Linked DNA regions of Notamacropus eugenii. The main gene of each other region encodes a partner of the protein of the gene in region 2 in a complex. Links are inferred from orthologs where the notes say so. Each region holds a gene or a part of one and is shown on either strand. Other genes may lie near its edges.

The links. The genes of interacting proteins can lie anywhere in the genome.
Region 1: the proteins of FGFR1 (region 2) and KL are in contact, whole or in part, in a cryo-EM structure (PDB 7YSH), measured with the Homo sapiens proteins. The link is inferred for Notamacropus eugenii from reciprocal best matches to the Homo sapiens genes FGFR1 and KL. Residues at the interface, in NP_075598.2 of Homo sapiens: Asn272, Gln288, Leu290, His292, Ile293, Asn296, Gly301, Pro302, Leu305, Pro306, Tyr307, Val308, Gln309, Ile310, Leu311, Lys312, Glu322, Leu326, His327, Leu328, Arg329, Asn330, Glu334, Asp335, Thr340, Leu342, Leu349, His351; in NP_004786.2 of Homo sapiens: Ser539, Gln540, Phe541, Asp543, Leu544, Asn545, Val546, Tyr547, Leu548, Trp549, Asp550, Val551, Lys555, Arg556, Leu557, Val560, Val563, Thr565, Lys566, Arg568, Tyr571, Val573, Ala576, Glu625, Arg628.

Annotation. Positions count from the first base shown.
Region 1 is NC_092876.1:202,147,668-202,155,594, reverse strand, and holds the start of KL (klotho), read right to left. Parts: upstream 3,006-7,927; 5' UTR 2,708-3,005; coding exon 1,862-2,707; intron 1-1,861. UniProt on the Homo sapiens protein: May have weak glycosidase activity towards glucuronylated steroids. However, it lacks essential active site Glu residues at positions 239 and 872, suggesting it may be inactive as a glycosidase in vivo.
Region 2 is NC_092872.1:622,453,320-622,461,156, forward strand, and holds the start of FGFR1 (fibroblast growth factor receptor 1), read left to right. Parts: upstream 1-4,818; 5' UTR 4,819-4,955; intron 4,956-5,223; exon of another isoform or gene 5,224-5,459; intron 5,460-6,447; exon of another isoform or gene 6,448-6,554; intron 6,555-7,837. UniProt on the Homo sapiens protein: Tyrosine-protein kinase that acts as a cell-surface receptor for fibroblast growth factors and plays an essential role in the regulation of embryonic development, cell proliferation, differentiation and migration.

The DNA.
Region 1 (7,927 bases), on a different chromosome or scaffold from region 2:
GGGACTGATTTCACCATTATTTAAAAACTGAATATCACTTTATAATTTATAAACATTATCAGTTCAACTCTGTGATAGCCTAGTGCTATATCTCTGAATTGATTCACTTTTAGTTCTAAACAGCATTTTGGGTAAAAAAGTTTTTATTAGCGTTCTTTATCTAGAATCTAGTCAAAATATGTAGATGTTTAAAGTCATTAAAACAAGAAGTTTTCATCATAAATTTTACATAGAAACTATTTAAATAACTTTCACAAATATGTAAAATGCAAATAAGATATTTTTGTAAAACAAAAAAAAAGAACAGTACTTGTAGAAACTCTAGGCAGCTAATCAATATTATTTCAATGAGCTGAAACCTTTCATGAGAGAGTTACTACCATAAAAGATTAAATGTTACCTAAAAAGCAAAAGAGATCATGATGCTTAGTCCATTACCAACCATTGTTCCACTGTGGTATTTTTAGCATTTTTACATTAAAATTTTATGCAACTTACTGTTAAAACTAATTTTATCAGGTAGTGAGTTAATAAGATTTATTTCACTCGTGGAAGATTTCAAAACTGAAGACGCTGCAGAGAAACAAATGTATAGATCAACAATCATAGTACGATACAAAGACACAATGTACATTTTGACCCTAGTTTTGAAATTTTCTATGAAATTTTGAACTAAAAGATATTTGGAATGGTAACTCAAGTAGTTCTGTCACTCTGCCACAGGTGATACTTTCAAGTACAATTTGACCCAGAGATGTCATTTTGAAAGTATTTTATTTGCTGTATGCACAAGAAAACTTAGCTAAAGTGATTTTTTTTTCTTGGAAGGGTCAGCGTATCCTGCCCTTACTGACAACATTTAATTCACCTCATAACCATCGACTATATAAAAGACTGGTTACTGACTATCTGAATAGCTTCTGAAAAACTTGTGTCTAGTGGACTTCCTCTTTCTTCTCCAATCACTAAATAAGTAAAAAAAACCAAACAAACTACACTTCCAAACAAAAAAAAAAAGACCCACAAACCCCTCCCAAACCTGTAGGACTTGCTCAATACACAAATTCAAGGTGATCCCAAAAGTATTCTTACCAGGAAAGGCATTTTAAACCTCTTACTGAGCCATCGGGTACCAAAGTAGATAATCTCTAGAGTCAAAGGAGGTCAAATAACCAGCTGTTATTAGTAGTAGTACTACTGTCATTGCGTCTGTTTGAGTTTAAATCCTATGATCCCATACATTCATTCTGACTTATCCTGATTCACTACTTCCCTTCCCTGTTCTAATTTAGTACCCGTTATGCGAAGTCTGGGTTGCTAAAGAGGGGGCTAAGAACACTGGAAAGACAAACTCCTATCAATAGAGTCAGACAATTTGGGTTTAAATTTCAGCTTTCATGCTTGCTAAATTGGTGATCTTTCTACTTCACTTTTCTCATTCATAAAGAGACCAAATTGGATTAGACGCCTCTCAGATCTTTCTCTTAATTTTATGAATAATTTTGTCCCTCAGGTGCCTGGCTCAAACACCTCCACAACTTTTTATTCTAGCTTTCCTTTCGGATAGGAACATCTGGGACACTTGCCTTCTTTTACCCTGCTTCTATACCGAAGTCCCTTTCCGACTCGTTTCTCCAGCTGTCACTAACTAGCTGACCTTAGGCCAATCTCCCCGCTTTAAGCCTCAGTGCCCTCACCTGTAAAATCAGGGATTTGGGCCAGATGACGCCTAAAGTCCTTTTGAATTCTAGGTCCCGCGGTCCCTGTACTCCACCTTCCTTGGCTCACCCCTCTTTCCCTCCCTCTCCAGTCCTGCAATGATTCCTTGGACTGACACCACCCCACTCCCCCCGGGACTCACCAGGAGCAGGTTATGGGCCACCTGGTAGCCAAGCCGCCGGTTACCCCGCACACCAGGGGCCAGCCTCCCTGTGGCATAGCCGTGCCAGGCCACCACATAGGGGTTGTCGATGGTGATCCAGTACTTGACCTGGCCGCCAAAGTGGCGAAAGCAGAGCTCGGCATAGTCCCTGAAGAGGTCGGCCACGGTGCGGTTGGCCCAACCTCCGTAGATGTCCTGCAGGCGCTGCGGCAGGTCCCAGTGGTACAGGGTGACCACGGGCTCCACGCTGAGCTGGCGCAGCCGCTCCAGCAGGCGCCGGTAGTAGCGCAGCCCCTCGAGGTTGGGGGGCCCCGCGCCCACGCCGCCACCTCCGGGCAGCACGCGAGCCCACGAGATGGAGAAGCGGTAGTGGGTGACCCCGAGCTCGCGCAGACCCTCGGTGTCGCGGAAGATATGGTTGTAACTGTCTCCGGCCACGTCCCCCGTGGCGGGACGGGACAGAGCCGGCGGCAGAGACGGCTGGGAGGACCAGGAGTGGGACGGGGCTGAGAGTTGGGGCAGGAGGTCCCCTGGGGGCGCAGCGGGGCGGTGGGTGAAGGTGTCCCAGATGGAGGCGCCCTTGCCATGCTGCCTCCAGCCGCCCTCCGTCTGGTAGGCAGCGCTGCCCACTGCCCAGAGGAAGCCGTCGGGGAAGGTGTCGTGGAGGAAGCCCGCGACCTCGGGCGATGGAGCTCTGGCGAAGCGGACCCAAGTCTGCGCGCCATCCCCCGGATCAGCGCGCAGGCAGCCGCACAGCAGGCACAGCAGGGGCAGGGGCAGAAGTAGCCGCGGCGGGGCGGCCCCGGCCCGAGCGTGGGGGCTCATCTTACCTGCGGGGTAGCAGGGGAGCACTCATGTGAGGCCCTAGCTCCCAGGCCGGACCCCTTTATCACTGCTCCCGCCTGCCTCCCTCCCCGCCCCTCCACGCGCTCCGCGCCTTCTCCACAGTCTCGCCCACCTCTGCTTCCCTCAGTGGGCAAGTCTGTCAATAATTACCTGGGAGCCCCCGCCTTCCCCTCTTCTCCTCTCTTCCTCTCCCCTCCCATCCCATATCCCGAGACTTGGTGTTGAGGTTAGTACCATGATCTGGAAGAGGAGAAAATGATACCCAGGGGAGAGCCAGGGGAGAGGACAGGGAGAACCAGGCTCTCTGGAGACCCTGACAAGGAACCTCAGGGAGAGGGGAAAGACGGATCTTTTACTGGCGACAAAAGAGCAGGGAAGAAAAAGCACCTGTTAATCTTCATCTCACTACTCTTCTCCGAGAAGTAACTGATGCATAAGGAGGGTGAAATCATTTATAAACCTAGATCAGGAAAGACGAGGGATGTGTGTGCATCCATCTAGAAAAGTGAGAGGGAAGACCAACTTAACTGGAGGACAGAACTAAATCTTCAGCTGAAACCATCCTCCATCTCCACGAAAGAGGATAAAAGATAGTCCAGAAAGGAAATCTGCCTTCTTGGCTGGATTACTGTATCAACATTATCATCAAACAAGTGACCTCCCCTCAAAAGCACCTGCTTCCTCATCTTCACCCCACCCCCATTGTTGCCTAAAAATATACTTTTCCTTGAAACATAGGTAGAATTTTTTTTTTTTTTATGGACTGGGGAAGTAAAAGGATGGAGTAAGTGATTTTTCAGTGAAGATAAATTTCTCAGCATTCTAACTTTCAAACATTCTCAAGGTATTACCCATTGCCACACATTTTACCAGTCACTAAAGGATGAGGTCCTCTGGTGGTATACCTGATTGTAATAGAAATGTGTCTTCTTACCACTACTCAATGATTCTGAGTTTAATTTTCCACTTTCTGCATGGTCAGTGCTTTTCCCTCTTTCCCTCTTACCCTTGGTCTTTTAGCCATTCCATTATCTATTAGATTTTCCAAGAGATTATGAAAAATGCCTGCTTGAAATTCAAATCATTAATATGAAATTTTTTTATTTATCTAGGATGAAGGTTTGAGTGATCAGTAATGGTAATTTATCCCACTCTCCTTTCTACACTTTTCCTTAAAATTTGTCCTATACACCAGCAACTAAATTATCTTAACAAAATTATGAGTTCAGTGCTGCCTAGAGGCTTCAGCGAACAAAGAATCTGATTATGTGTTATGAAACTCAGGGGGATAGGGATAATGAGAAGGAAAAAAATAACAAAAATGCTGGGGGGTTTTTACCAGATATCAAAAAGAAATGTTGGTCCAAAAAACTGTGGCACCATAGGACTTGTTGATATCCCTGAAATCATGTTCCATACAGTAGTCTATTATTAAGGAAAGGTCATTTCTGGATTGCTTAGCATAATACCACAAATGATATGACTTCTACTTCTTCCATTTGTAAATACAGCAATGTTAAATAAATTTAGGTACAGCAAGCATGCAACATTATCTGTAAGATTAGAAAGTCTGGGCCATGACATAAATATGAAATAATATGACTACCATTCCATGGGCTTAATAAAATATAATTATTAAATGCAGCCTCATTTTTTTCCCCTAAAATGATTTGGCTCTATAAGAGCCAAATATAAATTTCAATTTCAATTAGAAATACTTCAGAGGTCCCATGGGAAAAGAGCTTAGGCTACGTATCAACTTCTCAACTTCCATGTAGTTGTTCTTCAGGGTAGAGTGTATCTAACACTACTTTTTTTTTTCTAAACAACACAAAATCCAAAGATAACTTTAGAACTAATAGAAAAGAAAAAACTAATAAAATGCATCATATCTAAAATTCAGCTGTACAGAAGAAACTTAAGAAATACAGGTCTCCTTAGGGTAATATTAAAACTTTCATCCATAGATGTCCCCAGGAGATGTTTTTAACTTAAGATTGAAGACTTTATGATAATCAACCCTTATTTTTAGAAATACTTATTTATGAAAGTTCCACCTATAATGACTATCACAATTTTGAAGTGTCAATTACTATTGCTATGTATTTTAACATTTTCATTTCGTTAAATATAGAAAGTCTTGTTACCTTTGGTAACCATTAATAATCATGTAATGTGGATATCATTAGAGTGGCCACATAGAATCAGGAGATTTGTATTGGAATACTTGTTTTGACACTTAAGAGCAATGTGATTCTGTTTAACTGCCCTAAACTTTAGGTTATTTATATATAAAATGGAAAAGATAATCCACAGTTTCACAAGTGGTTTTTTTTTAAAGTTCTTTGAAATCTTAACTAAATAAATATAAATTATCTTCCAGGGCAAAACTCTTTTGAGAGGATACTAACGTATATTTTATACATGAAGATGATGTTCCTGACTTCCTTTTCAAAAGGATCCATGATTAAAGTTGTTTTTCCGGCAGTGAGAATGAATTTTCAGTAATCCATCTAACCTCTCAATTATCCAAACTATTTCATCCAATATATAATAATAACTGACATTTATACAGCACTTTAGGGTTTGCAGGGCTCTTTATAAACATGGTTTCATTTGATTCACACAACAACCCTGTGAGTTCAGTGCTACAGGTATTATTATTATGCAGATCAGAAAACAATCTCAGAAAGATTAAATGATTTACTCACACAGCTAATAATTTGAACCCAAATCTTCCTGATTCCAGATGCAGCACTCTGTCCTCTAAACAATGCCATCTCTCATTTACACTGTTAACCCTGCTTCACTCTAGAGTAGACCAGAGGTTAAGCTGGGAAGTGGGAGGTCCATGAACCTGAATGGGGGCATTGGAGGTGGGGAGAATTACATTTTTGTTTTCTTTTTATTTTCCTGGTAATTCTATGTGTTTTATTGTTTGCAGTTAAAAACATTCTTATGAGAAGGGGTGCACAGGCTTCACCAAACAATCAAGGAGGTCCATAATACATAAAAAAAGTCAAGAACTCCCTTTTGTTATTCAGTCATGTGCAACTCTTTGTGACCCCATTTGAAGTTTTCTTGACAAAAATACTACAGTAGTCTGCCATTTCCTTCTCAAACTCATTTTACAGATGAGAAAACTGAGGTAAGAGTTTGAGGTCAGATTTGAATTCAAGAAGATAAGTCTTCTTGACTTTTGGTCCAGCACTCTATCCACTGTGCCACCAAACTACCCCTCAATAACTCCTACTGTAGACCAACTATAAAGTTTTATGTAGTAATGAGATAGCTGAAGCTGGAGATAAAATCATTAGTCAATAGATCTAATCAATCAGCTGATTAATTAAATAGTCATGTATCAGAGGAAGATTTTTATGAAGCTACATATAATTATGATGTCATAGTGCTCTATGTAACCAGTTCAACAATTTAATATGTGCATATCATCATCCTATCAACATATTTGTAACACTCAAGCCCAGAGGAGGGTCAGATAGTTTCCTGAAGGATATTCCCAAGATGGGACACTAGACAAGTAGAAGCATGACTCTTGATTGGCAGAGGTTGGGATACTGTGTATAGCAAACATGAGAGAGATATGACTCCTGATTAATGGAAACTTTGGAGAGAAAAAACAAGAGGCATAGCTTGAAAGAGCTTATGACTTTTGAACAGTGCAAGCTTTTAAACAGGAGGCACTATTGCCATAGACACACCCTTTCTCTCCTCCCCTCCCCAAAACATGTCTTTATATCCCTGAACTCCCAGAGAGTATTTCCAACTTTCCAGATGAGGGAAATTACCTGGAGATGGTGCCACTTGAGCTGTCTTCAACAAGTTTCCCAGTTTAAAGACATGATACTAGTCTCTCAGGTAATAAAAGAATGAAATAGACAGAATCCTTACCCTCAAGGGATTTGTAATCTAGTTGGGGACATAAGACAGATACACAAAATAGCTATGATACAAATGAAAATATAAGTGCATCTAGCCTCTAACACATACTAGCTGTTGAATCATGGGCAGATCATTTAACCTCTCAGTGCCCCAGGTACACCAGAAAAATTATAAGTGAAATAACTCTGGATGAAAAAAAAGTGAAAGGAGAATAAGTAGTTTAGAACAAAAGATGGAAACCACAACCAAGTAGTAAACTCCCTGGAAATTAAAATCGGCCAAACTGAGTTCAATGTTTCAGAAATAAAATATTAGAATAAAATCAAAACCAAAAAATAGGGGGAGAAAATGTTGACTATCAAAAAAAATTCAAGGGTATGTGGAGATGGTGTCACAAGCTGAGTCTTTAACAATCAATTCTAATCAATTTTGCTACCCTCTTCCATTTTATGGGCGAGTTCACCCCATTCTCATTCATAGTTATAATTGTTAATTGTGTAAATCCTTCCATCATATCCTCTTGCACATTTTCTTCTCTTTGCCCCAGACCTCTCTTTGTAAAGAAGGTAGTAAGAGAAGGAATCTGATCAGCACAATGAACTGCAATTGAAGCTATCTACTTCTGCTTTTTTCACTTCACTTAGACCACTAGTTCTTACTTTCTGTCCTTTTGATAATTTGCCCTCTGAATTTGGTTGTTTTGCTTGTTTGAAGTTAATGAGGTTCTGAATGGACTTGTTTCTTCCCCTCTATTAGAATTGTAAGCTGTTCATCATCACTTAGTCCAGAGATGGGGAACCTGCAGCCTTGAGAATACATGTGACCCTCTGGGTCCTCAAATGTCATTCTTTGACTGAATCCAAACTTCACAGAACAAATCCCCTTAATAAAAGGATTAGCTCTGTAGAACTTGGACTCAGTCAAAAAGCTGCACCCAAGAACCTAAAAGGCCACATGTGGTCTCGAGGCCACAGGTTCCCCACCCCTGACTTAGTCCCTTATAATTGCTCAAGTACATTTTCCTCTCTGGGTAAAAATGGTGAATTTGTAGTCAGAGCACCTGGATTCAAATCCTAGCTCTTCTACTTACTTCCTGTATGATCTTATGCAAGTCACTTAACCTCTCTGGGCCTCCATTTCTTTATCTGGAAAATGCTGGGGTTGGACTAGATGACTTTTAACCTGCTTTCTAGTTCTATATTTATGCTTCTAATTCAATTTCCAGTTACAGATTTTGATCTACTGCCTTGAACTTCGATACCAGTTCTATACTTGGGATTTTCCTAAGAGTTCTTTCCC
Region 2 (7,837 bases):
TAGTAACTCCAGAGCCTACATATGCTATATATAAGCTGAGTAAGTTGGTCTAGATAATTTTTGAGCATCCTATCAAGTCTACATTCTTTAATTAAATTTTTAAGATAAATTTTATTAATATCTTTCTTGTTTGTTTTTACATCACAAAAATTACTCAGTATCATTTTTCCTTGTCTTCTCATATCTCCTTTGCTTATTCTTTGTCATTTTGCACACCCACTTGTTTTGGGGTTGTTCGTTCTGTATATTGTTTTCTTGGTTCTGTTTATTTCACTCTGCATCAGTTTCTGTAAGTCCATATTCCTCTGTATTCATCATGTGTTGTTTCTTATAGTACAGTAATATTATGTTACCTTCATAAATCACAATTTGTTCAGTCAATTCCTAATCGAAAGGTATCTACTTTGTTTCTAGTTCTTTGCTACCACAAAAAGTACTTCTAAAAATGTCTTGGTGTATATGAATATTTTCTTCATATCAGTGATTTCCTTGGGGCATAAGCCTCATTGTGGAATCTCTGAGTCAAAGATCGTGGACTTTTTGTCACTCTCTTTGCATAATTCTAAATTGCCTTCCAAAATGATTGCAGATTCATAGCTGCACCAACAATACATTATGTTTCCCCACAACCACTACACCCTTGATTCTTGCCATCTTTTATCATCTTTGCCGATTTTCTGGGTGTGAGGTGGAATTTTTTAGTTGTTTTGATTAACATTTCTTTTATTTGAAGAATTCTTTCATTATGGTTGTTCATGGTTTTACAATTCTTCTTTTTAGAATTGTCCCTTCATATCCTCTGACCATTTATCTATTAAAGAATGGATTTTACTTTCTTTCTCTCCATATATACATATGTGTGTATATATACACACACGTATATTTATATGTGTATGTCTATATGTGGTCTATATATCCACATATACGTAAATGTATTATGTATATCTATATATCTTATATACCAATCTGATGAGTTTGCTACAAAGATTTTTCTGCATTCAATTATTTCCCTTCTTATCCTAGAAACATTAATTTAGTTTGTACAAAAACTTTTCAATTTCATATAATCGAAATTATCTTTTTTATCTTTTGTTATGGCCTCTATCCTTTATTTGATTAAGAATGAATCTACTCAAAATTGTGAGACATATGAGCTGCTTCTCTTCAAAATTTTTATATCTTTATAAATTTTTATATCTTTAATATTAAGGTCAAATATTCATTTTTAATATTTACTCAAGAATATGGCATAAGATGTTGGTCTAAACCTAATTTTTACCAGACTGTTTTCCATTTTTTCCTCAGCTTTTTTTTTTTAAATAAATTACTTTTCAGAGTAATTTATATTTGGGAGTTTATTGAACATTGAATTATTGAGTTTTGTTGTTTCTGAATCTCCCTTATCTGGTCTGTTCCATTGAGCTACTTCTGTATTTCTTAACCAACACCAAATGGTTTTAATGACCACCATTTTCTAGCATAATTTGAGGTCTGGAAGTACTATTCTCCCTTCATTATTACCTTTTTCATCACGTATTTCTCTTAATCTTCTAGATCTTTTGTTTCTCCAAATGAATTCTGTTATTATTTTATCGAGTTCTATAAAGTATGCCTTTGCTAATTTGATTGGTATAGTATTGAAATTGTAAATTGACTTTGGTAGGATTGTGATTTTTATTATATGGACATAGTCCTGAGCTGACCACTGAAGAGTCCTGCTACTACTTAAGCTGATCTTTGTTTCTTTAAGGAGCACTTTGTAATTGAATCAATACGAGTATTTTGTGTGCTTTAGTAGATTGGTCCCCAGTTACTTTATGCATTTCATAGTTATAATCATAATAATAGGCAGCATTTATGAGTGCTTTATGGTTTACTAAGTACTTTACAAATATTTCATGTGATCCTCACAACAACCCTAAGATAGGTGCTATTATTAAACCCATTTTAAAGATAGGAAACTGAAGACAGAAATTGAGTGACTTACCCAGGATCAAATAGCTGGTAAGTATATGAGGATAGATTTGAAGTCAGGTCTTTCTGACTCCAGGTCCATAACTCTTTCCACTGCTATACCTTTGTTTATTTTATTATATCATTTTGAAATCTGTAACTGAACTTATCAAACATTTGCGAAAGTACCTGCTATGTGAAGATATTGTGCTATACACTGGGAATAGTAATGAAAAGACCTTGCTGTCAAGGAATTTATTATTTTAAAAGATATACATGAATATCTAAGTTAAAGATGCAAGGGTTAATATAAAAAGTAAAAAGAAATGTCTAGGTATTGAGAAATGATCCTTTCACCTTGGTAGTGGAGAAGGTTATAGGGTATGAAGAAAAGACTTCAAAAAACTTTAAAAGAGCACCTGCATTGAATCGTGTGTGTATGTGTATTCAATTCTGGGCCCCACATTTTTTTTTAAGTTCTGAAAGAATATGGCATTTATTCTATGTATTTTTTAGTTTTTTCATGGTATTTTATTTTTTTCCAATTACATGTAAAGATAGTTTTCAACATTCATTTTTTTATAAGATTTTGAATTCCGAATTTTTCTCTCTCTCCTTCCCTCTTCCCAAGATGGTAAGCAAATTTGATATAGGTTATACATACGAAATCACTGCATTGAGTCTTGAAAGAAGAGAGAATCTTCAAGAGGCAGCGATGTGGGCTAAAAAGGGGAATGTGATCCATGCCATCATGGGGTACCAGAGTGAATCATGACACCCAGACTGGAGGTGGCAGGACTAAGACAGGGAAGGAAATAATCTAGTTTGGGGATAGTGTAGAATATAAAAGAGGAGTATGAAGAGGTAGGATCATGAGGTTTGAAGCTATAAGGAGCCTTAGCATTGGTCTAATGTAGCAGATCATTGAACTTGGCTTTTTAAAAAATTAATAATTCTACCTCAAGATAAGTATTTTCCTTTGAAATCCTATGTGTTTTATTTTATACATCTAAAAACATGATTCTGGTTGGAAGTGGTGGCAGCTCCTGCCTACAATCCCTTCTTTTGGAAGAGGTTGAGGCTGATAGCCTGAGCTGAGGAACTCTGAGCTGCAGCAGGGTTAAAACTAAGGGTGTGTTGGTAAATGTTTAACAACCAGTTCTGTAAAAGAAGATTGCTATGTCATGTTTAATCTGCGCTATTAATATATTCTCCATCACTTTCTTAAGTCCAGGCAATCGACAAGATAATAAATCCAGCCCTAATTTATAGCCTTTGACAAGCCAATCTGTGCATGGTGTTCACAGTATACAATTATGGGGTGGGGGGGCCCTGCTATAACTACCACGCTGCCTAAAGATGAGCAAATCTTCCAAGGCTGGAAAAACAAGGAGAATAGAACTTCTATGCTAACCAGTGTTGAGATCAGGACTCTTGACAGTCACTACACTTCCAACCTGGACAAGGCAGGGAGACCCAGACTGAAAAAAAATCTGGTAAGGAGTCCTTAGGTTTCAAAAGATTTCCAAGCAGCGCTTGATACACACATAATAACGGTTAGAAATCCTGGTCTAACCCAAGCTCTTTATTTTGCAGATTTTTAAAAAAGAGGTAAACTGACTTGCCTAAGGTTACTGAGGAATAGAGTAGTAGAAACAGAATTCGAACCCAGCTCCTCTGATCCAGATTCAGGGCTCTCCTCATTACACCGTAGCTGGCACTTAGGGCCAGATTATGAGATTCCTTGAATGCCAGGACTGGTTGCTTTAACCTTATTCTTTTTAGTAGGTAAAGGAGGACCATTGAAGACTTTTTGGTAGAGTAAGGACATGATAAGAGCAGTGCACAGGTGAGGTTACTTTGGCCGCAGTGTGAAGGATGCATTGGGGATTTGGGGAGGTTAACATCAATGTCCAGAGGAGGTAATAAAAGCCTGAACTAAGATGCTGAGGGGGTAATGCATGTCCAAATGAAGAAGGTACGGGAATCTTTTCCACGAAATTCTCCTAGAAGAACGGCTTTTCCGATCTGACCCAGAAACCTTGCACGACACTGTCCTAGATGAAAGGTGCAGACCCCCTATCTAACGGGAGCACAGCTCCGGTCCGAGAGACTAGCAAGGCAACACAGCTTTGGTTTTCCCCTCTGCAGCAGTGGTAAAGGAACTACAAGGCCCAGCAGGCAGCTGCAGGGGGAGGAGGAGGAGATGGAGGTGGAGACTAGAGTATCGTCTGAGTGAGTGAGGCAGTGAGTGAGGCTTCCAGGCGCATAGCCTTAAAAGCGCTCAGTGGGATAGGCGGGCAGCCGCCGAAGCTGCAGCGAGAGCAGCCTGGAGAGTAGGCAGGGGGTGAGCAGGAGCCCGTACCTGTGCTCAGCCGCAGCGCGCCCAGAACCCAGACAAGAGTACCTGGATCGCCTTGAGACAGCTCCCAGAAAAGACCCAGAGAGTCCAGGCTCGGCGTATTGCGAAGACTTCGTATCTTCCCCCACCCCCAACCCCAAAGAGCCGTTGCAGCTGGAGAAACAACTGTGACTGAAGACTTTTCCTCCAGTCCTGGGGATACATTGCCAGTGCCCACACATACACTCGGATCTGTACCGCAGCAGTAGCCGCCGCCGCCACCGTCACAGCCTGGGCGCGCTGCGGAGCCGCGGCCCCTGCGAGGAGATGGAGCCCGGGTTGCAGAAGGTGTGAGCCGTCCGCAGCCCCGGCTCTCCGGAGGAGGGGGATCAGGGGGTCCAGAGACCCCAGGAGGCGGAGGGGAGAGCCCTCCGCCCTCCCCCCCTCCGGCGGGCACCCGCTTCGACCCTATTGTTCCCGCCGGGGCTGGAGGCGCCGTGTAGGGGCCGCTCCCGGGACTTGTGCACCGGCTGCGGGGCTCTTGTGGCCCCGCAGGGACGGGTTCTGTCCCCGGGGCGGCCAGTCAACTTGAGGGACCCGGACTCCCACCCGCTGGAGCTGCGGCCGACTCTCCTCTAGGGGAAAAGCAGCCCAGACAGAGGTAAGAGTGGCTGGGGCCCCTCCAGATGCGAGGCCGCCTCTCCTTAGCTCGAGATCCCCAAGCCTGGGAGATCCTCTACCCTCCTCCTGCACCATCCTCCTGGCGCTAGCTTAACGACCTGTAACCCTTTGGAGCTTAAGCGTGCGCTGTGCTCCAGAGGTCTCCCCTCTCCTCACCCCTCGCTCCCCCCTTTTGTCTACCCTCCTCTTCCTTCTCCCGCTCGCAGTTGTGCGCCCCTACTCCCTCCGCGCCTCCCTTCCAGCTCGGCTCCTCCCGCCGCCCAACTTCTCTGCAAACTAGCGCCCGGGGTTCTGCGAGACTGCGGAGTCTGCAGCCTCTAGGCCGGGGGAAGGGAAAGAATTGGGGAAAGGGAAAAGGCCAGAGGGCGAAGGCAGCCGGCGGCTCGGGGGTCCGAGGACGACGGAAGAATTGTGCCTGAGTCTTGAGTGTACTGCATTCCACTCCACCCCTCGTGGTGACTGACTCACCCCAATACTGCAGCAGGTAGCTTTGGTCCGACCACTGGATCGGACCGATTTCTAATCCCTTTTTCCCACTCCCAGTAAAGTCCGAGCCCCGATATGTATTGGGGGGATGGGGGAAGGGAGAGGTTGTTGGATAGCTTTTCTTCGTTTAGTTTTTAGGGAGGTGGCGAAAGGTGGCGTCACTAAATGGCAAAGAGTCCGTTTTAGGGGAGGGCGAGGAAGGTATTTCCTTTAGGGGAGGGGGTTATCTTTTCCTACGTAGTATTCCTTAGAGGCGAAGGGAGGGAAGTTGAGGGAAATTGGAAGGAGCCCAATGGACGAATAAGCCCTTGTGTGGGTTGGGGGTGGTTGGGGGTGGGAGGAGAGAGGAGGAGCGTTCAACTCTACTAATCTATCTGGATATAGGAGATGAAATGAGAATGTTTTGTCCAGTGTTGTTCACTTTGCAGCAGTGAACCTCACTCTTTTTTTTTTTTCTGGCAAAGATCTGGCCTGGATTAATTTGCCCTCTGGCCCCTGTGTGATTTTCTGGAGAGGCGGGCTAGCAAAAAAAAAAAAAAAAAAAAGAGGAGGGGGACCGGAAACTTAGTTTCCAGAGTGACACCTTTGTATAGTTTGGCAATCCTAGTTGGCTTCATCCCATCCCCCTTTCCTCTCTCACTCAACCGGGTGGGGGGTGGAGAATGGGGGGTTGAGGGTTGAAACCAGTCTGCTTCTGCTGGGACCAAAAGCGATTGGCCCATTTACAAAATGTTGCTGTGGTCTCTTTCTCCCTCCCCCCACTTTTAAATTTTTTTAGTTTTCCAGATGTTGCACCAGTGAGCCCCATCTGGTTCCATTTCACCCAGTACAGCAACATTGCAAACAAACAGCGCCTAGCATTTCTCTGTGGCTTTTTATTCCTCTCCCCACCCCCAAAATGCTAAGATCCTTCACTTTCCTCAAGGGCCAGGAGCATTTCCTGCGCCTAAGAGATGGATGGGAGTAGGAAGAGAGAAGAAGGTTACCTTGGATCCCGGGTTATTGGAACTTCTCTTCTTCATCTTGGGTGGTAAAAATAAATGGGAATAGGAGCTTTGGAGGAGGGGATCGAAGGTGCCGGACATATATTTGGGTAAGCCACTCTCGAATGGCAGACTTCATCCCCTTAGGGCATGACTCCGCCAGGACTCCGAGCTGATGGCAGATGTAACTCTCCGAAACCCCAATATTTCACTTTTGTGCTTTGAATGAAAAGAAAACGGAAAAGGTGTCCTGCCCTGTTGGAGCTTGGATGGGGAGGGGCGAAGTTGGCCTGAACTCTTGGGCTGCTGTTTCTTGGGCTTTCTGGGAAGGCCGATTGCCCCTTTCCCATCGAGGGAGCCCCAGGGGGCCGTCCCCCAGCGGTGGCAGTCATGCGTTGCTTTTTCCACCCTTCCTCTGGAAGGCTGGTATGTGGCGGCGGCGGCGGGCGCTGGGGGCGTGTGAATGGGGCCAGGTTGAGGTGTTGGCTCTCACTGCCCCTAGCCTAGTTGGTCTCTATGTTTTTTAACGTAGTTTGGATTGCAGCCCCCGGAAACTAAAGTGACTCTGCCCTAGTATTTAAATAACGGTTACCGGTTGAAAAGCAGACGGAGGGTGTGCATGCGTGCGTGTGTGTTGCTTGTGTTGTGTGTGTGTCCGTTCCTTAAACGAGGAAAGCTCCTTATGGTCCAAAGTTTAGTGGGGGAGGGAAAGAGGGAGACAAACTTCCCTCCTCCTCCCCTCCCTTCTGTCTCTCTTTCAAATTGAAAACACTTCTCTGGTTTCCTTCTCTGGGCGGTAGTTTTGGAGGTTGTAATGAAATCGCACTTTCTCTAGACATGGTAATTAAGGTGACTGTTTCCTCAGCAGATGTGCCCTGCTCTCTGCACCTCCGGACCCAAGCTTTTTTTGGTATACCGACTGCCCTGCAGCCTCAGGACAACTGGGCGGGTTGCTGCTCTCCCCCTCCTGTTCCCGCCTGTCTCAGCCACCCAGCCACCCCCCTTCCTCAGCCTTTTTCCACCCCACCCTTCGAGGATGATTTTACAGCCCCTACAAAGTCCAGTTCTGGGGCTTAATTAGCCCAGTGGCCACGGCTCTCTCTTTACTTTCGGGGAATAGGATGAGCAGCAGCCTCTGCTTCGAACTTGCCCTTATGGCCTCCCTAATGACTTGTTTACATATTTCCTCCCATTTAGGGCTGAAGTTTGTCGGGAGCAGCTCCAGCCCCGATACTTCTAGCACCCGGTCAGCAGCCAGTGGACTGGAGACGCCGGCCGCCGCTGCAGGCTTGACTCCCTCTCGGGTTGTTCAGCGGCTAGCGGCTGACGAGCTCCTCGAAATATCTGTTACGTTGACTCTTAGTCATAGCCATAGCTAAGTGTAATGTCAGTT